5 linked regions of the Canis lupus familiaris genome follow. The protein of the gene in region 1 purifies or fractionates together with the protein of each later gene. This does not show direct contact. Links are inferred from orthologs where the notes say so. Each region holds a gene or a part of one and is shown in the gene's direction. Other genes may lie near its edges. The genes, in order: FBXL17, KBTBD7, ZBTB18, KLHL9 and ZBTB10.

Region 1 (3,945 bases):
ACGGCCAGTGGAGCCCCCAGCCTGCAAGGCTGAGGACTCAACCAGTTGACAACGTGCCTTAGGGCTTGGCCTGGAAACACGACAGGTGCTTTCACTGAAATAGGAGTCAGCAGACACCACAGCAAGGGTACGACCAAGCGGAACAGAGAAGGGGCGGCCCCACCCATCAGCCCCTCCCTGAGAGCATGGCCCCGGCACCCAGAGCTGCAGCACCCAGGGGCCTCAGCATCCAGGGGCCTCAGCACCCAGGGCTGCAGCATCCAGGGGCCTCAGCACCCAGGGTCTCAGCATCCGGGGGCCTCAGCACCCAAGGTCGCAGCACCCAGGGGTCTCCGCACCTCGGGGTCTCAGCACCCAGGGCCCCCGCACCTCGGCGCCCCCCGGCACCCCTGGCAGCCAGGGCAGAGGCGGCCTCCCGCGCCCTCCGCTTCCGGCTCCTCGGGGACCTCGCTCTCCCGGCGCGGGGGGGGGGGGGTGGGTGGGGGCGGGGAGCGCGGCGGCTCCCGGCCAATGGCGGCTCCTGACCTCACACCTCCCGACGTCAGCGCGGCCGCGCGAACGGATGTCACCGCGCCGGCTCGGAAGCCGCTCCTCCCGTCCCGGCGGCGGGGCAGGCGCGCGCCCGGCTCCTTCCCGGCAGGTCCCGCCCGGCGGCCCCCGCGGCCCCGCCCCTCCCGCGGCCCCGCCCCCTCCGCGCGCGCGCCCGCCGCGGCCCCGCCCCCTCCCCGAGCGGCCCCGCCCCCTCCCCGAGCGGGCCGCGCGCCCCTGCGGCTCCGAGCTGTGTCGCGGGCGCGCGCGCCGCCGGCGGAGCCGCAGTTAAAATGGTCCGAGCGGGACCCCGCGTCCCCCCCGCCGCCGCCGCCGCCGCCGCCGCCGCCGCCGCGCTGCCGGACTGAGCCGCCGGGCCGGGCGTGGAGCGGTCCCCGGCCGCAGGCCCCCCGCCGCGCCCCCGGCCCCCGGCCCCCGGCCCCCCCGGCCCCGGGGCACAGCATGTAGCCCCCCGGCCCCCCGCCCCCCCCCGTCGCGTGTGCGCCCGAGCGCGAGTGCGCGGAGCCCCGCCGCCCCGTCCCGCCGGCCGCCCCCGTCCCCGTCCCCGTCCCCGTCCCCGCCGCCCGCCGCCCGCCGCCCCGCGCGGCCTCCTATATGGGCCACCTCCTGTCCCGGGAGCCGCGAAGCCGCCCGAGCCGCAGGAGGCCGCGCTGCTGCAGCTGGTGCCGCCGCCGCCGCCCGCGCCCGCGCCCGCCCCGCAGCCGGGACTGCTTCTTCCGCGGGCCCTGCATGCTCTGCTTCATCGTGCACAGCCCCGGCGCGCCCGCCCCCGCCGGCCCGGAGGAGGAGCCGCCGCCGCCGCCGCCGCCGCCGCCGCCGCGGGCCCGGGCCTCCGCCGAGGACTGCGCCGCCGCCGCCCGCCGCTTCCTGCTGGCCCCCGCCGCCGCGTCGCCCGCCTCCCGCTGCCGCGAGCTGGGGCTGGCCGCCGCCGCCGCCTGGGAGCGCCGCGGCCCGGGCCTCCTCCTGGCGGGCGTGGGGCCCGTGCGCCTCCTCGGGCCGCCCGCCGCCCTGCGGCTCCTGCGCGGGCCGCCGCCGGCCGCCGACATGGTGTGCAAGCGCAAGGGCGCCGGGCTCCCGGCCTGCACGCCCTGCAAGCAGCCCCGCTGCGGGGGCCACGGCGGCGGCCACGGCGGCGGGCACGGCGGGCGCGGCGGGCACGGAGGGGCGCACGCAGGGGCGCACGGAGGGCCCGCGGGGGGGGGCGCCTCGCCGCCGCGGCCCCCCGACGCCGCCTGCTGCCCCGCGGCCCCCGCGCCCCCCGAGGCCCCCGCGCCCCCCGCGCCCCCCGGGGCCCCCGCGGCGGCCGGCGGGGACGCGGGGCGAGCGGGGGGCGCCGCCCCCTCGGCCGCCCAGCAGCAGCAGCAGCAGCAGCAGCAGCACGACTGCGGCGACGCCGACCGCCGGGAGCCCCCCGAGAACCCCTGCGACTGTCACAGGGATCCGCCCCCCGAAACCCCGGACATCAACCAGCTGCCGCCGTCCATCCTGCTCAAGGTGGGTCTGCGCCGCGGGCGACGGCTGCCCCGGCCCCGGCCCTGGCCCCCGTGACCCCGCGGCCCCCCGTGACCCCATCCCCGAGATCCCCGTGCCCCTCCGGCCCCCGTGACCCTCCGGCCTCCGTGACCCCCCCATCCCCGAGACCCCCGTGACCCCTCTATTCCCGAGACCCCCGTGACTCCCTGACCCCCGTGACCCCCACATCCCCGAGACCCCCGTGACCCTCCGACCCCCGTGACGCCCCATCCCCGAGACCCCCGTGACCCTCCGGCCCCCGTGACCCCCCATCCCCGAGACCCCCGTGACCCTCCGGCCCCCGTGACCCCCCCATCCCCGAGACCCCCGTGACCCTCCGGCCCCCGTGACCCCCCATCCCCGAGACCCCCGTGACTACCTGACCCCCGTGACCCCCCCATCCCCGAGACCCCCGTGACCCTCCGACCCCCGTGACCCCCCCCATCCCCGAGACCCCCGTGACCCCCCATCCCCGTGACCCTCCGGCCCCCGTGAGCCCCCATCCCCGAGACCCCCGTGACCCCCCCATCCCCGAGACCCCCGTGACCCCCCCATCCCCGAGACCCCCGTGACCCCCCATCCCCGCGACCCCCGTGACCCTCCGACCCCCGTGACCCCCCATCCCCGAGACCCCCGTGACCCTCCGGCCCCCGTGAGCCCCCATCCCCGAGACCCCCGTGACCCCCCATCCCCGAGACCCCCGTGACCCCCCATCCCCGAGACCCCCGTGACCCCCCCCATCCCCGAGACCCCCGTGACCCCCCCATCCCCGCGACCCCCGTGACCCCACCCCCTCGCCCCCTCGCTGGTCTCCGCCCCCTGAGCGCAGTGCCCCCCACCCCCCCACCCCGGCAGCCGGAGTCCGAGGGGGACAGGCCGCTGGGGAGGACGCTCGGGAGGACGCTCGGGCCTGTCGTGGGAAGCCCGAGACCTCGGGAGCCGCTCGCGCTCAGCAGCTCGGGCTGCGGCCTCCCTCGGTCCCGCCCCGCAGCCCGGCGGCTCCCGGCTCCCGGCTCCCGGCTCGGCCCGGCGGCCACTCCTGTCCACTGCATGTACGAGCGGGTGTGTTACGTACACATGTATGTTTTAGACATGAATATGTTTTGCATAGAAGTATATTTCATATATAAATATGTCTTATTTATAAACATGTGACTTATTAACATGTTTTATTTATAGATACATAAAAACACTTTTATATATAAATACACACATTCACATATATATATACACATTTATATGTAAATATATTTATAAACATACGTTTTAGGGAATCCCTGGGTGGCTCAGTGGTTTGACGCCTGCCTTCGGCCCAGGGCGTGATCCTGGGGTCCCGGGATCGAGTCCCACATCCGGCTCCCTGCGTGGAGCCTGCTTCTGCCTCTGCCTGTGTCTCTGCCTCTGTCTCCGTGTTTCTCATGAATAAATAAAACCTTAAAAAAAAATAAACATACATTTTATTTATTTTTTTTATTATTTTTTTTTTAAAATTTTTTTTTTTTTTTAAATTTTTTATTTATTTATGACCGTCACAGAGAGAGAGAGAGGCAGAGACACAGGCAGAGGGAGAAGCAGGCTCCATGCACCGGGAGCCCGACGTGGGATTCGATCCCGGGTCTCCAGGATCGCGCCCTGGGCCAAAGGCAGGCGCCAAACCGCTGCGCCACCCAGGGATCCCTAAACATACATTTTATACATAAATATATTTTTATATAAAATCTATACATTTTTGTATGTAAATGTATATGAATATATACATTTGATATAAATATATTTTTATATATTAGTATACACATTTCTGTAAATAAATATATACATATGTATATATAAATATATATACATTTTAACATGAATATATATATTTAATATATAAATATGCATTTA
Region 2 (4,074 bases), on another chromosome or scaffold:
CAGGGCCTGATCCTGGAGACCCAGGATTGAGTCCTACATTGGGCTTCCTGCATGGAGCCTGCTTCTCTCTGTGTGTGTGTGTCTCATGAATAAATAAAATCTTAAAAAAAAAAACAAAAACAAAAAAAAAAAAACTGGGGCATGCATGAATACAGAGCTCTGAGGTCTGTTTGTTTAAATCTTTTAATCTACAACTCCCGTTTTTATCTCCTTGATAAAGATAACTACATAATCTTAGGCTGATTTGTGGAGAGGAAGGGAAACGAGCAGTATTAGACCAAAACATTCCTGCTAAAAGGTTACGAAAGGGCTTCTGGGTGGCTCAGCCGGTTAGGCGCCTGCCCGGGGTCCTGGGATCCGGCCCTATCAGCAGGGAGCCTGTAATCTCCCTCCCCCTCTGCCTGTCACTCCCCTGCTTGTGCATTCTCTCTCTAATAAGTAAATAAAAATCTTAATTTAAAAAAAAAGAAAAAAAAGCTTATGAAAGTAATCCTGCTCCCCCTGCGTAAATATTGATTTGGTGAGAGGTCAGCCCAGCTATGCATGTGCCTGAGCTGCCTGTTAGAGGCCTGAGCTGTATGTCAGAGGCCTGAGCCGCACGTCGGAGGCCTGAGCCGCACGTCGGAGGCCACCTCTCAACGCTGTTCGCCAGGACCTCATCCTTGTCCACGACACCCTAACGAACCTGTGGATCTCATTTAGTTCTGAAAAGATGGTGGTAGCCTTCAGAAGAACCCTTCAAAAGAAGCAACAGTAAAATTAAGATTCCTCACACAAATCGCTCACGGCTTCGCACGCGGGCACATTTTTAAAAACGCATTGGGAGACGCCACCAGTGGCTGAATCTGTATATTCCAGGCACTTGCAAGCATGTGATTAATCAGCAGGTATTCGCTGAAGCATCCTGGGACCTGCGCAAATCCACCTCGCTCCCACTCTCACATAATCCTATGAAAACTCGTATCCCCCGCTTTACAAAGAGGGGAAAGTTCTCAGAGAGAAGACCAATACCAAAACGGAGATTTTTTTTTTTTTTAAATAAAAAAGAACATCAAAGCCAAAGCTCTAAAACCAACAAACCCAGATTAACGCTTTTTCGAATTCTGTCAGCTAAAAGTCCGCCCGCCCGGAGAAACCTCGCGATATTCCTCGAACTACCACTCCCAGCGTGCACAGCGGCTCCGGCCCGCCCGCCGATCCCCTGGAGTCTGGAGGGGCCCCGGCATGCCTCGGGGCGCGAAAGGCAGCCTGGGAGCCGTAGTTCCGCTGGACGCCTACCGGTATTGCCAGCGCGGCAGTGGCGGCTCTCTCGGTTCCGTCCAGCCGGGTTCTGTAAGGCGAGCTGAGGCGGAGAAAAGGGCGCGGAACTGGAAGCGGGTGAGTCAGGCGCTGGCTACGCGATAAAGGGAGGCGGCACCGCGGCGCGGGGCTGAGTTGGGTAAGTGCGGCCCCTGCAGTCTCTTCAGGGAGAAGGCGAGGAGAGGGCGAGGAGGAGCCCGCGCCCGGTCCGTGCACCCGTTCTCGCCCTCGTACCCCGCCGCCATCTCCACCATGCAGTCCCGGGAAGAGGCTCCGCGCCCCCGCCGCCTGGCCAGTCCCCGCGGCGGCAGGCGGCCCAAGAGGATCTCCAAGCCCTCGGTCTCGGCTTTCTTCACGGGCCCGGAGGAGCTGAAGGACGCGGCTCACTCCGCAGCCCTCCTGGCGCAGCTCAAGTCCTTCTACGACGCGCGGCTGCTGTGCGACGTGACCATCGAGGTGGTGACGCCCGGCAGCGGGCCCGGCACCGGCCGCCTCTTCCCCTGCAACCGGAACGTGCTGGCGGCCGCGTGTCCCTACTTCAAGAGCATGTTCACGGGCGGCATGTACGAGAGCCACCAGGCGAACGTGACCATGCACGACGTGGACGCCGAGTCCTTCGAGGTGCTGGTCGACTACTGCTACACGGGCCGCGTGTCGCTGAGCGAGGCCAACGTGCAGCGCCTGTACGCGGCCTCCGACATGCTGCAGCTCGAGTACGTGCGGGAGGCCTGCGCCTCCTTCCTGGCCCGCCGCCTCGACCTGGCCAACTGCACCGCCATCCTCAAGTTCGCCGACGCCTTCGACCATCATAAGCTGCGATCCCAGGCCCAGTCCTTCATAGCCCACAATTTCAGGCAGCTCAGCCGGATGGGCTCAGTAAGGGAGGAGAGCCTGGCGGATCTGAGCTTGGCCCAGCTGCTGTCCATCCTGCGCCTGGATAGTCTAGACATCGAGAGCGAGCGGACCGTGTGTCACGTGGCCGTGCAGTGGCTGGAGGCGGCTCCCAAGGAGCGCGGACCCAGCGCTGCGGAAGTCTTCAAGTGTGTCCGCTGGACACACTTCAGAGAAGAGGATCAGGATTACCTGGAGGGGCTGCTGACCAAGCCCATTGTGAAAAAGTACTGTCTGGACCTTATCGAGGGGGCCCTGCAGATGCGCTATGGTGACAAGCTGTGCAAGGCTCTGGTGCCCAAACCAGATAGCAGCAGCAGCTGTGTTGTGCCCACAGCAGAAAACCCACCCCAGAGGCTGGGTATGTGTGCCAAGGAGATGGTGATCTTCTTTGGACATCCCCGAGATCCCTTTCTGTGCTACGACCCATACTCAGGGGACATTTACACCATGCCATCCCCTTTAACCAGCTTGGCTCACACCAAGACTGTCACTTCCTCAGCTGTCTGCGTCTCTCCAGACCATGACATCTACCTGGCCGCGCAGCCCAGGAAGGACCTCTGGGTGTACAAGCCAGCCCAGAATAGTTGGCAGCAGCTGGCCGACCGCCTGCTGTGCCGGGAGGGCATGGATGTGGCCTACCTCAATGGCTACATCTACATTTTGGGTGGGCGAGACCCCATTACCGGTGTTAAACTGAAGGAAGTGGAGTGCTACAGTGTCCAGAGAAACCAGTGGGCACTGGTGGCTCCTGTACCCCATTCCTTCTATTCGTTTGAACTAATAGTGGTTCAGAACTATCTTTATGCTGTGAACAGTAAGCGCATGCTCTACTATGACCCGGGCCACAATACATGGCTGAACTGTGCTTCTCTTAAACGTAGTGACTTTCAGGAAGCCTGTGTCTTCAATGATGAGATCTACTGTATCTGCGACATCCCGGTCATGAAGGTCTACAACCCAGCCAGGGGAGAATGGAGGCGGATTAGTAATATCCCCTTGGACTCAGAGACCCACAACTACCAGATTGTCAATCATGGCCAAAAGTTGCTCCTCATTACTTCTACCACCCCTCAGTGGAAAAAAAACCGGGTGACTGTTTATGAATACGATACTAGGGAAGACCAGTGGATTAATATAGGTACCATGTTAGGTCTTTTGCAGTTTGACTCTGGCTTTATTTGCCTCTGTGCTCGTGTTTATCCTTCCTGCCTTGAACCTGGACAGAGTTTTATCACTGAGGAAGATGATGCACGGAGTGAGTCTAGTACTGAATGGGACTTAGATGGATTCAGTGAGCTGGACTCGGAGTCAGGAAGTTCAAGTTCTTTTTCCGATGATGAAGTCTGGGTGCAGGTGGCACCTCAGGGAAATGCACAGGATCATCAGGGTTCTTTGTAAATATTTTGAAGCACTAAGATGTTTCTACTTCTATGGAATGTATCTTTAAAAGATATCCCTTCCTTTTCATGAAAAAAAAAATGTTGATTAGGACTGCAGATTTGGTTTAGAAAGGGTAACATTTGAATTACTAATGTAATGTTACAAAGTTAAACAGTCCATGAAATCAACCTATATGATAATTTATTATGCTAAAAGTCAAGATTAAAATATGCAAAAACAAACTATGTAACTGATTAGAATGCTTGGTGGTTTCTTGGTTGTTCGAGTATTTGTTGCACCAGTGGATTGTTTTGGTTAGTTTACACTGTTTATATTTTGATTATCTACGTTTGTCTTCTGTTAACGTTTTAATTCAACTTAGTGCCACAAGGAATTTAACTTTTTAATTTTTATAGTAGAAAATTGAACTAGAAATTGTTGGTAGGGTTTTGAAGGTTGTATTTTCTTTTAGAATAATGAAAGTAGTAGATTTCCCAAATT
Region 3 (4,290 bases), on another chromosome or scaffold:
ACATTTCTCCGTTGCCGTGATGGACCCACTTTCATAGCCAAGAGGCAGGATCAGATAAAAGTTCCTCTGGAGGGAGGGGACAGCGGCACCGCAGTCTGTCTCACATCTTCCCTCGGTGGCTGAACGCTGTGGCTTGATACGTACCAATTAAGGAATCCGGCTACGGCTTCCACAACTACCAATTTTACCGGAGTTCTCTAGAATTTGGTCGCTTGGGAGTGTGTGCTGGTGAGAGGGCGAGTGCCCCGGGGCCGCGGGGGCCGCAGGCGTGTCTCCCGGAGCCAGACCTCGTCCGGGGAGCGACGCCCCGACTGGCCTCCCGGAGCCCGCGGCCGCGGCGCCCCGACCTGCACCGGGGGGCGGGGGGGCGGGGGGGCGGGACGGAGCGCGGGCGCCGCTCGGTTCCGCTCCCCGCGCTCGGGCGGGCCACGACTGCGCCGCGTCCCCCGCGTCCCCGCGCGCCCTGCCTCCCGAGGATACCTGCGCAACTCGGCGCACGCCGGCCCCAGCGCTTTTAAAAGTGTGTTTCTGGTGGTCACGGTGCGCCCCGAGAAGGTCGCGCCGCACCCCCCCGGGGCGCGCGAGGCCCCGGAGCCCGGAGACAGGCCCCTCCCAGCGCAGCTGTCGCTGCCGCCTGCGGGCTCCTTTCACTTTCTCACGGCCAAGTCACCCAGAGGGGCGCCGCTGCCGCCGCCGCCGCTGCGCCCGAGGACTCCGCCCCGCGCCGCCTCGCTACCGGCCCCCCGCCCGCCCGGGCCCCGCCCACCGCAACAGCTCCTGCCCGCGATTGGCTCGCGCGAGCGGCAGCTCCGGCCCGCCTCGCCCATTGGCTGCGCCCTCCTGTCAGTCCGACGGTCGCCCGCCACTCCCCCCGCCCTCCCGCGAGGCCGCCCTCCCATTGGAGGAGGCCGCGCGCTGGGGGCGGGCGGGGAGCGCCGGCCCAGCCGCTTACGGTCAATCGCAGGGGCCCAACGCCGGGAGGGAGGGAGGCAGGGGGAGGAGAGGGGCGGGCCGAGGCCGGGCGGGGGGGAACATCTGGCCGGCGCCGCCGCGTGCGTGCGTGGTGCGTCCTCCCGCCCCCTCCCCTCCCCCTCCCCCGCCCGCCCCCCCTCCCCGCCCCCCCTCCCGGCCGGCGGCTCCGCACTCGCTCCCTCGCTCGCTCCCTCGCTGTGTCTGGCAGGCTGCGGCCGCCGCTGGGCTGCTGCCATGGGGAGCCGTTGAGAGTGGGGCCCTCTTCGCTCCGCCGCGCTCCTCCGGCTGCCAGCGGGGGTGGGTGGGAGGGAGGGAGGGGGCAGGGGGAGCGGGCGACGGAGCCGGGATTGGGGGGCGGGGGGGCCGGGAGGGAGGGGGGCCAGAGGAGGAGGAAGCCCACCAAGTCCGGCGGCGGCGGCGGCGGCGGCGGCCGGGAGGAAGAGGAGGAGGAGGCGGAGGACGCGGCGGCGGCGGCGGCGGCGGCGGCGGCGGCGGCGGGGACGCGGTGACTTAGGGCCGCTCCGTGTGAGTGCCGGCGCCCGCCCCGGCCCCTGACCCGGCGCCCCCTCCGCGCCCGGCCCCCCTGGCGGGCGGGGGGCGCCAGCTGTGCGGCCCGGGCCGGGCCGGGGCGGGCGGAGGGCGGGCCGGGCCGGGCCGGGGGCGCCCCCGCGAGTGGAGTTTAGTTTGTGTGCTCGGAGCGGTTGGGGCGGCGGGGGGCGGCGCAGCTGCGGGAGGCCGGGCGCGGGGACGGGGCCGCCGCAGCTGCGGGGTCGGGCGGGGTGCGGGCTCGCCGGCTCCGCGCCGCGCCCCCCGCCCCCCTCCCCGCGGCCGGTGCAGCTGCGGCGCGGGGCGGGCTCCCGGCCCGTGCAGCTGCGGCGGCGCCTCCCGGGTGCGGAGGGCGGCGGGCTGGGGGAGGGGGGCTTGGGAGCCGCCGCAGCTGCAGCGGCGCCCGGGACGGCCGCGGCTCCGGGGACCGGTGCAGCTGCAGTGGCGCCCGGGGGGGAGGGGGCCGGCGGGGGAGGGGCCCCTCCCGGGCTGGTGCAGTTGCCGGGAGGCCCCGGGGGCTCGCGCGCCGCGGCGTCGGGGAAGCGGTAGCAGCCACCCTCCTCCCGCGGGCTGCTTCTTACGACTTTTCTTTTGTTGTTGCCGTGACCCGGGTCTGTTTTCTCGTCTGCTGTGGAAGGTGTTTTCCTGCTGCACCGGCTCTCCGCCCTCCACCTCCTTCCCTGTGGTTTAACCTTCCTCTTTCCCCGTGTGTTTTATGCACGGCGAACTACGTGGAGATTTGCATTTCTTACCCACCCCACCCCCGGCCCCACTCCGCACCCTCGCCCCCACCCCTCGGGAGAAACAGAAGCCCAGCCTCACAGTCCGTCCCTGGACCCCGCGGTAGCAGGACTGCGAAGGGGTTGATTTGTGGGGTGGGAGTCGCTGGCCCATTGCGGTGCTTGGGACTCATTAAACTGTCACTCACCCCCCACCCCACCGGGTAAATGGGGTGATTAATGTCTGATACGTTGGAATGGGGCGAGGGCATTTGTGGAGAATAGGTTGTGTGGCTGGGAAGGAATGTGGCTCCCGAAGAGTGCCTCCCGCAATAGGCGTTCGTCATCCTGTCATTCACCGCGAAGTTAGAGAAAGTTCGGTCTGTGACTTTGGCAGAGCGAGGGAGACTGGACGGAGACGCCGGTGTTTGTTACTGGTTAACTGTGCCGCGGTGTTCGGGTGAGGACCGGGCGGTGACCAGCAGGGCTGCGACGCTCGCGCCTCGGGCCTGCGCTGCGCCTCGCCCTCCCGAGCCCGTGGGGATGGCTTTGACATTCACAGATGTCGCAGCACCTTGCAGGGCACGGGGCAGCCCAGCCCGGGTTACGTTATGATTTCATCAGCCATTAGAAAAAGACCCACAAAGTCGAGCTGAAAAGTTCCCAAACTTACTAGACTTGCCCCCCCCCCTTCTTACTGAAAGCTGAAAGGTTTTCTTGTGATCACGAAACATCACAGAGTGACCCAAAAAAAGATTGTTATGGGACACAGATCAAGGGGAAGACAAAGTTCTGCTTTTTTTTTTTTTTTAATTTTTTTTTTCTCCCCTGAGCGGAGAGTCAGATCAGATATGCAGGTGCAGTGTTCATTTTAAGCGGCCGTAGCAGGTTGTATCAGTTTATTAATTTGTCTCATTGAACTGAAGTACTTTCCAGGATTTCAGAAAGTGCAGTTTCACCTTGTTGATAGTGAGAGTTGAAATTTGCATGTAGTGGCAATGTAGAAATTTTATTGAGTAGGTTGTAGGACACAAATAGTTAAAATTAAGAGGGAAATAATAAGGTGAACCCGGCTGTAGTAATAGTTCTGTATAGTCTCCCAGCATTGAGACATGTATGCCATTATCTTGGCAGGAAAAAAAAAAAAAATGAAAGTACCGTAATAATGTTGAAATGGGACTGGAGATGTCAATTGGGTTGGTTTAAAAATATCCCTAAGCTGCCTTTGAAACTAAACGTTGGAGTTGAATAAAAGTGAATCTGGATTTCCTGAATAGCACCGTGGCTTGAGTGTGCTGTCAGTATGTGAGCCAGTCCACCAACTTAAGACAGAAGTGTTGCTATTCCATAAATACAGTAGAACTCCATATGCTGAGTTTTTCAATTTCTTTCTGTTAGAAAGTTTGGAAAAAAAGGGAGACTTTGAAGTATTTTGTTTATACTAACAGAAGAGAAAAGTTCTCCTAAGAAAAAGCTGGTGGCAGGAGTGTAGAGGAGTAGCATATGGCATTAAAAGGAGCACAGCTGGAGGTAGCATTTCCATCTGAACATGATGTCAGAGCAGCTGACAGCCTGCCATCCCTCAGCCTTTTATTCTAACACACAGACAGGGAGTTAGTGTGTGCGGATCTGTGGTGGAGAAGGTATCTTATTCCTCTCTAACATCATCTCCACTTTGCATCTGTCTCTCTTAGTCCGCTTTTTTTCCACCGATGTAACAGACCTGGAGCCAGCGAGACCCAGAGGAAAGGACTTAATCAGGTTTATGTGTCCTAAAGGTAGGAGTAGCAAGAGATTAGATTGAGCATATTTCTGTTTTGGTGTTTTGTTGATTTAATTAAAAAAATCACATTACTTTTCTAACCCAGTTTAGGAATAATATATGAAACCGAGTATTAAATGAACATCTTATTGGAGTTGAAAGTCTTGGGCTTGTGTAGTTTTAATTTTTATCCCTTTTGCTCGAGCAAGTAAATAACTTTAATACACAGAAATATTTCAAGTTTTGAAATGTTAAGAAAGGCTTTGAGATGTTGCTTTTTGAGATCACTTG
Region 4 (4,101 bases), on another chromosome or scaffold:
ATCCTGTCCTTAGGATTTATCTAAAAACAGGGGAAACTTCTGTGCTGAGATTTTAGTTTATTGGAGTCTATAAAACAATGACGTACAAAGTTTTTATTCAGGAACTAATAATGGGCAAAAGAAACTATAGTATGTGGAATCATCGGAAAGTCCTGTAGCCATCTAAAAATGTGAGTGGATAGGGATGCCTGGGTGGCTCCGTGGTTGAGCGTCTGCCTTCCGTCCAAGGCGTGATCCTGGAGAGCCGGGATCGAGTCCCACATCGGGCTCCCTGCGTGGAGCCTGCTTCTCTGTCTGTGTCTGTCTGTCTCTCTCTCTCGGCCTGTGTCTCTCATGAATAAATAAATAAAATCTTTAAAAAAAAATGTGAGTGGATAGAAGGGGAGGTGGGTGGCAGGTGGGGGTGACTGGGTGATGGGCACTGAGGGGGGCACCTGATGGGATGAGCACTGGGTGTTCTATATGTTGGCAAATTGAACACCAACAAAAAATAAATAAATAAAAATATAAATAAAATAAAATGAAATAAAAATAAAAATGTGAGTGGAGAACAATTACAACGGAATTGCACTGCACAGCCAAAACCCAGGCTATACTATTCATGTGCCGTGGTCACAATTTGGTATTTAGAGACCCATGATCCGTGTATTAAACGACTAGTAATTTGAATATGTGAACCAAAATGGTAACTGAGGTGTAGGATAAAAATCATAGCCCAAGTGCTTTATCGAGGAACAGTTTTAAGCATCTTGCCCCCAGGGCCGCCGCCTCTTCCCCGTTGCCTTCCCATCTATACAAAAGCCGCACGTCATCGTTATTCAAAAGGCAGAAGCCAGGAAGTGTAAATCTTTAAAAAAAAAAAAAAGTATGAACTTAGGAGGAGAGCTCAGGCGCCGTGAGAAGCTCGCAGCACACGCGCAGCACCACGCGGGCGCCCCTGGAGCCCCAGGCCGCGCCCGCTCCTCCGCGCGACCCCGCCCGGCCCCCCGCCCCGGCCCCCGCCCTCGGCGCCTCCCGCACCGCTGCTCCCCGCCCCCACGCGCCCGCCCGCTGACGGGGCCCGGCGGCGCGCAGGCGCAGTAGCCGCCGCGGCCGCTCCTAGCCCGGGGGATCCTGGGACCAAGCCTTTCCGGAAGGACCGGCTCGGCGTCCGGGGCAGAGCCCGCGTTCCAGGCCCAGGCCCGAGCCAGGCCCGCGGTCCAGGCCGTCGTCCCTGCACCGCCGCCGGCGTCCGCGGCGACGCTCCAGCGAGCGCGGAGGGCGCAGCGGGCCGCGCGCTGAGGTGGGCCGGCCTCGCCGCGTCGCCGGCCGCAGTACGTGGCGGCGCCTCCCCCTTGGCCGGGAGCGGAACTGCTGGAGGAGCGGCGGCGCAGGCCGGACCGGGCGAACCGGGTCGCTTCACTGCCTTCAGGTGATGAATCGTCCGCAGAGCAATCAGATTTGAGGTCCGCAGCCCTCCGTGGCCCTGCCCGCCACCAGTTTTGAGCGGATGACCGGCGGGTGTGTTGGCGGGGTGCCGCGGTGACCGCTCGCCCTTGATCAAGGAAAGCGAGCCCTCCTGCTCGGGGCGTGCGCGGCTCGTCTCCTTGAGAGCTTTCAGGCCACAGCCTCGTTCCCCGGGGGGCCCGGGTCTCCGCGGGAGGAAGGCTTTCCCATGAAAGTGTCCCTCGGCACCGGCGAAATGGGCGTCTCCGCCCACCTACAGCCCTGCAAGGCAGGAACCACGCGTTTTTTTACCAGCAACACTCACAGTTCGGTGGTGCTGCAAGGCTTCGACCAGCTCAGAGTAGAAGGCTTGCTTTGTGATGTGACCCTGGTCCCGGGCGACGGAGATGAAATCTTCCCCGTTCACAGAGCTATGATGGCGTCCGCTAGTGATTACTTCAAGGCAATGTTCACAGGCGGAATGAAAGAACAGGATCTGATGTGCATTAAGCTGCATGGGGTGAACAAGGTTGGGCTGAAGAAAATAATTGATTTCATTTATACTGCAAAACTTTCTCTCAATATGGACAATCTTCAGGACACCCTTGAAGCTGCCAGCTTCTTACAGATTTTGCCCGTCTTGGACTTCTGTAAGGTGTTCCTTATTTCGGGAGTCTCTTTAGACAACTGTGTTGAAGTTGGGCGGATTGCTAACACCTACAATCTGATCGAAGTGGATAAGTACGTCAATAATTTCATCCTGAAGAATTTTCCTGCATTGCTGAGTACCGGGGAGTTTCTAAAACTCCCCTTTGAACGGCTTGCCTTTGTGCTTTCTAGTAACAGCCTTAAGCACTGCACTGAACTTGAGCTCTTCAAGGCCGCCTGTCGCTGGCTAAGATTGGAAGACCCTCGGATGGATTATGCTGCAAAATTAATGAAGAACATTCGATTTCCATTGATGACACCCCAGGATCTCATCAATTACGTGCAGACAGTAGATTTCATGAGAACAGACAATACTTGTGTGAATTTGCTTTTGGAAGCTAGCAATTACCAAATGATGCCATATATGCAGCCAGTGATGCAGTCAGATAGAACTGCCATTCGATCTGACTCGACACACTTGGTCACATTAGGAGGAGTTTTGAGGCAGCAGCTGGTTGTCAGCAAAGAATTACGGATGTATGACGAAAGGGCACAAGAGTGGAGATCTCTTGCCCCCATGGATGCTCCTCGTTACCAGCATGGTATTGCTGTCATTGGAAACTTTCTTTATGTAGTTGGTGGTCAAAGTAATTATGATACGAAAGGGAAAACTGCTGTTGATACAGTTTTCAGGTTTGATCCTCGGTACAACAAATGGATGCAGGTTGCATCGTTAAATGAAAAGCGCACGTTTTTCCACTTGAGTGCCCTTAAAGGACATTTATATGCTGTTGGTGGGCGAAGTGCGGCTGGTGAACTGGCCACAGTAGAATGTTACAACCCAAGGATGAATGAGTGGAGCTATGTTGCAAAAATGAGCGAGCCCCACTATGGCCATGCTGGAACAGTGTACGGAGGCTTGATGTATATTTCAGGAGGAATTACTCATGACACTTTCCAAAACGAGCTCATGTGTTTTGACCCAGATACAGACAAATGGACACAGAAGGCTCCAATGACTACAGTCCGAGGTCTGCACTGCATGTGTACAGTTGGAGACAAGCTCTATGTCATTGGTGGCAATCACTTCAGAGGAACAAGTGATTATGATGATGTTCTAAGCTGTGAATACTATTCACCAACCCTTGACCAGTGGACACCAATTGCTGCTATGTTAAGAGGTCAGAGTGATGTTGGAGTTGCTGTCTTTGAAAATAAAATCTATGTTGTGGGTGGATATTCCTGGAATAATCGTTGTATGGTAGAAATTGTCCAGAAATATGACCCAGAAAAGGATGAATGGCATAAAGTTTTTGACCTTCCAGAGTCACTTGGTGGGATTCGAGCTTGTACTCTCACAGTTTTTCCACCCGAGGAAAACCCTGGGTCACCTTCTAGAGAATCCCCTCTTTCAGCACCTTCAGACCATTCTTAGGACTAAAATGTAGTACCTTTGCAGTGCATCATGGATGATCTCACACTTCCCCTTAAATTGTATCTTCTTAAAGTGATTGGTGCAGTTATTAGGTTAAATGGTAACTGATGTTATTTGTATTGCTTGGCTCAGTGTGTTTATCCGTATGGTTAACAAATGCATTCTGAAAATGTATTTAACATAGCCAGCTGTTTTAACAAATGTAAAAAAGATATGTAGAAAAATGTTTTAGATGTCTTTGTGGTGTTGTGTAAGTCAAATTGTAGGTGATTGTAGTAAATGTGTAATTATGTTCGTTTATGCTTCAAAGCTGCAAGTTTTCATCTTTCACTTCAGAACATCGAAGGGAGGCTGCTTGCTCTGACCTAAAATAGTAAAAGGTCGCCAAATATCACCTACCTTCCCTTTTTTCATAATAGTTTTTGACATCGTTGACAATTCACCAGATCGAGTGCATTCAGAATATGTGAAGTTTCCTAGATAGGAGAAATAAACAGCGTACAAAACCCTAAGTCAGGATTTTGTATCTCTGGAGAGAGGGAAAGGGAGAGAGGAAATATAGGTATGTATGCACATAAACACATCCGTATGCA
Region 5 (3,511 bases), on another chromosome or scaffold:
AGTAGCAGCTGTCATTGGGTGCCAAACACTGTAATTTGTAACACTTGACTTGGATTATCTGACTTGATTTTTTTAATCAAATCTGAACTATTTGGAAGCATATGAGGAAATTGAGGCACATGCTCACATAGCCAGTAACCTAATTCACCTTGCCTCTTAAAGCTTATTCCTATTCAGTACACTATTCTCTCGAGTGTGTGCTTGTTCTTGTGGCTGAAAACCATGTCTGATTTTGTGCCTTAATCGCGTTAAGCACGTAGTAGGTATTATAACTTGCAGATAGATAATTTTCTATTTAGTTGCATAAGAAACTACCAAGCAGGGAGTGGTTGATGATGGTTATAGTGTGGTTGTAAGTAACAGATTATTGTACATCTCCTTTTCAGATCTGGATGGTGCTCTACTCTCAGGGCCAGATTGTGATAGGAATGTGAATACAAATTTGTTGGCAGAAGCCGGCTCCAGTCAGGATGGAGGTGATGCTGGTATGTACAGTAGGATTTACAAAAGTACAGTAAGAGTACGTTTGAGAGGATTTGAAGATTGGGAAGTGATTGTGTACATGTTTAAGGACCTATTGCAGTTTCTCTCCCTTAAGGGAGAGTATTATATGAAAATACTTTGGATCCATGGTAGCTATGTTTATGATAAGACTTTGGAAACCTGGTAAATACAAATGGATGGGTGTTTCTTACTGTTTGGGAGAGCCATTTGTTTAGAGCATTTCAAATTCTTAAGTACCAAAAGTAATTAAGTTAATAGGGCTGGTGGCTTCCTGCTAGTATATACATAGGATGAAAATGGTAATTATCCAGTTGGCTGATTAACGTATTTTAATTGGCTTTGATGTAAAATAACAATATGGTAATCTAAAGAAAACGTTAATTCTATAGTAGTGATGTTTCTGTCAGTTGTACTTCGGGAGAAGTATCCTTCACATAGAGGCAGAGAATCCATAAATATTCCAGAGAACAAAGTAAGTATAAAGAAGGGGAAAAACTTTCTTTAGAGAAAAATGCCAAGCTAATAAATACATAATGACAGAAATGAAAAATACCCCACAGGAAATAATTCAAGATCATCCATGGAGGGACACCTGCGTGGCTCAGAGCATCTGCCTTCAGCTCAGGGAGTGATCCCGGAGTTCCGGGGTCGAGTCCCACATTGGGCTTCCTGCAGGGAGCCTGCTTCTCTGCCTATCTCTCTGTCTCTCTCATGAATAAATAAAAAATCTTTTAAAAAATCATCCATGGATATTAAGCCACTGTTGATCGGCTATCCCACAATGCAAAAGGCTGTTATAATAGTATATTCACATGGTTTCCCTATCATCCCAGATAACTTCAGTTAAACAAAGAGGAAAAGATTTCTTTATAATGAAAGCAGCAGAGATACCATGCCTCTACATGTAATGCACTAGCCAGCACAAAACATCACCTACATAGTTTACTTGCCAAAATGCATGGTCAATCTTGATGACTGACCAGAGTTCTAAAATGACTAAAGGGGCATTTGAGGGACACCCAGGTGGCTCCACGGTTGAGCGTCTTTTGGCTTAGGCCGTGATCCTGGAGTCCCAGGATCGAGTTCCCCATCAGGCTTCCTGCAAGGAGCCTGCTTCTCTCTCTGTCCCCCCCTTCTCTCTCTCTCACTCATGAATACATAAAATCTTTAAAAAGGGAGAGGGGGACATTTGAAGAACAGTTTGGAATTTGTGTAGTATGGGTTAAATAATAGTTTGACAATTTTAAATTTCGTGGATATGATAAAGTACTATGGTTATGTAGGAGAAGGTTCTAGAAAATAACTGCTATATTGAGAGGTAAAGTGATGAGTAAATAATACATAAAAAGTGTGTGTTCACAGAGAAAGTACATGTGTCAAAATTAACATTAGTCAAAGGCACACAAAAGGAATATGGATGTTCATTGATTCAACTTCTCATAGCATTGGAATTCCTTAAATTAATGGGCAGGGGGTGGCTAGAAGTACTCAGGCTTTCAGAAGCTTCTGAATATAATATGTATGCACTGACCAAAATTAAGCCCTAATTCTGAAGAAAAGAAATTGCCTTAAGGTGGTTTCTCCCAACTGTTGAAAAGAATTTACAAAAATTTTTGAAATGAGCAGTTACCAGAGGGGTTGAATTTTGAAGACTTTATCCTTGTACAAAAAATTGCTAATGGTATAAGTATTTTATATTTGGTTTAGAAATATGGTTGAAGAGTGGTCTTTGTGAGTTGTACAACAATAGATTATTTTTACCATAAGAATTTTTGTATCAGCTATAAAGAATGAGAACAATGAAGTAGGGGTAAAGATTTAATATTTTTATTGAAAACTCAATTACTTAAGAGCAAGAAAGCTAACAAGCAGTGGCGGGGCAGAGGGAGAAGCAGGCAGCTGAGCCGCAGGGAGCCAGATGTGGGGCTCAATCCCAGGACCCCAAGATCATGACCTGAACTGAAGGCAGATGCTTAACTGACTGAGCCACCCAGGCGCCCCATACTGATTAGTCTTAAGATTATGTGATTGTTTTGGGGGCAATGCAGAGCTCTCCTGTTCCAAAGCTGGGCTTCAGGGTGGTAGTCTCAAGTGATAGAATAATTAAAAGTAACTATTAAGAGAGAGTTCTGTTTTGAATATATTTGAAATACAGTATAAAAAAAGAAGTTTTGGGACACCTGAGTGGCTCAGTTTAAGTGTCTGCCTTTGGCTCAGGTCGCGAGATCCCGGGATCCTGGGATAGAAATCCACATCGGGCTTTTCTGCTCAGCGGGCAGCCTGCTTCTCCCTTTTCCTCTGCTTATGCTGTCCTCTCTCAAAATAAATAAAATCTTAAAAAAAAAGTTTCATGTGGCCTCCATGCACTATTAAATATTGACATTTATCTTACCAAATTTTTCTCTCCTCTGGTAGCATTTTAAATTTTAGTTTTTCTATTTAAGATGCCTGCAATTAGAGTATTATGATAGGATAATAAAGTATGAAGACGTTTCGGTTTTAGATTACAATGTAGAGATTTTTATCCAGCTATTTATAGTAAGCTGTTCTATCATAATATTGCATAGATATAATAAATTTTATGTCCTATATTGTTTTATTCTAATAAGAAATATCTTTATTACCATAATTACATTAAAATCACTTTTCTATTAGGTACTTCACATGATTTCAAGTATAGCTTGATGCCTGGCCCTTCAAGTGATTTCAAGTATGGACTGCTACCAGGTACTTCAAATGATTTCAAGTATGGATTGATACCAGGTGCTTCAAACGATTTCAAGTATGGATTATTGCCCGAATCTTGGCCAAAACAAGAAACTTGGGAAAATGGCAAGTATTAGTCAACTAAACATTGCAGAATTTTAAAATGATTTTTCACAATTAAAAGCTTCCATGTTCTGGGTCTTAAAAAAATTAAAATACTAGTAGTCCTACAATCCCTATTCTCAGGGACAGACAAACTTTTGATAGCAAGTTTTCTGTTTAATATATAATTGCTTTTGTG

The links.
Region 2: the proteins of FBXL17 (region 1) and KBTBD7 purify together in Homo sapiens (co-immunoprecipitation; 3 studies listed by BioGRID and IntAct, counting the BioPlex papers as one, with this or other methods). This does not show direct contact. The link is inferred for Canis lupus familiaris from reciprocal best matches to the Homo sapiens genes FBXL17 and KBTBD7.
Region 3: the proteins of FBXL17 (region 1) and ZBTB18 purify together in Homo sapiens (co-immunoprecipitation; 3 studies listed by BioGRID and IntAct, with this or other methods). This does not show direct contact. The link is inferred for Canis lupus familiaris from reciprocal best matches to the Homo sapiens genes FBXL17 and ZBTB18.
Region 4: the proteins of FBXL17 (region 1) and KLHL9 purify together in Homo sapiens (co-immunoprecipitation; 3 studies listed by BioGRID and IntAct, with this or other methods). This does not show direct contact. The link is inferred for Canis lupus familiaris from reciprocal best matches to the Homo sapiens genes FBXL17 and KLHL9.
Region 5: the proteins of FBXL17 (region 1) and ZBTB10 purify together in Homo sapiens (affinity purification with western blotting; 3 studies listed by BioGRID and IntAct, with this or other methods). This does not show direct contact. The link is inferred for Canis lupus familiaris from reciprocal best matches to the Homo sapiens genes FBXL17 and ZBTB10.

The regions. Positions count from the first base shown.
Region 1 is NC_049224.1:3,599,353-3,603,297, forward strand, and holds the start of FBXL17 (F-box/LRR-repeat protein 17), read left to right. Parts: upstream 1-1,143; coding exon 1,144-2,043; intron 2,044-3,945. UniProt on the Homo sapiens protein: Substrate-recognition component of the SCF(FBXL17) E3 ubiquitin ligase complex, a key component of a quality control pathway required to ensure functional dimerization of BTB domain-containing proteins (dimerization quality control, DQC).
Region 2 is NC_049243.1:9,372,730-9,376,803, forward strand, and holds the start of KBTBD7 (kelch repeat and BTB domain-containing protein 7), read left to right. Parts: upstream 1-1,268; 5' UTR 1,269-1,551; coding exon 1,552-3,591; 3' UTR 3,592-4,074. UniProt on the Homo sapiens protein: As part of the CUL3(KBTBD6/7) E3 ubiquitin ligase complex functions as a substrate adapter for the RAC1 guanine exchange factor (GEF) TIAM1, mediating its 'Lys-48' ubiquitination and proteasomal degradation.
Region 3 is NC_049228.1:35,066,794-35,071,083, forward strand, and holds the start of ZBTB18 (zinc finger and BTB domain-containing protein 18), read left to right. Parts: upstream 1-1,480; 5' UTR 1,481-1,497; intron 1,498-2,317; exon of another isoform or gene 2,318-2,697; intron 2,698-3,931; 5' UTR 3,932-4,002; coding exon 4,003-4,015; intron 4,016-4,290.
Region 4 is NC_049232.1:40,905,423-40,909,523, forward strand, and holds the start of KLHL9 (kelch-like protein 9), read left to right. Parts: upstream 1-1,292; 5' UTR 1,293-1,654; coding exon 1,655-3,508; 3' UTR 3,509-4,101.
Region 5 is NC_049250.1:28,339,745-28,343,255, forward strand, and holds part of ZBTB10 (zinc finger and BTB domain-containing protein 10), read left to right. Parts: intron 1-386; coding exon 387-485; intron 486-3,159; coding exon 3,160-3,336; intron 3,337-3,511. UniProt on the Homo sapiens protein: May be involved in transcriptional regulation.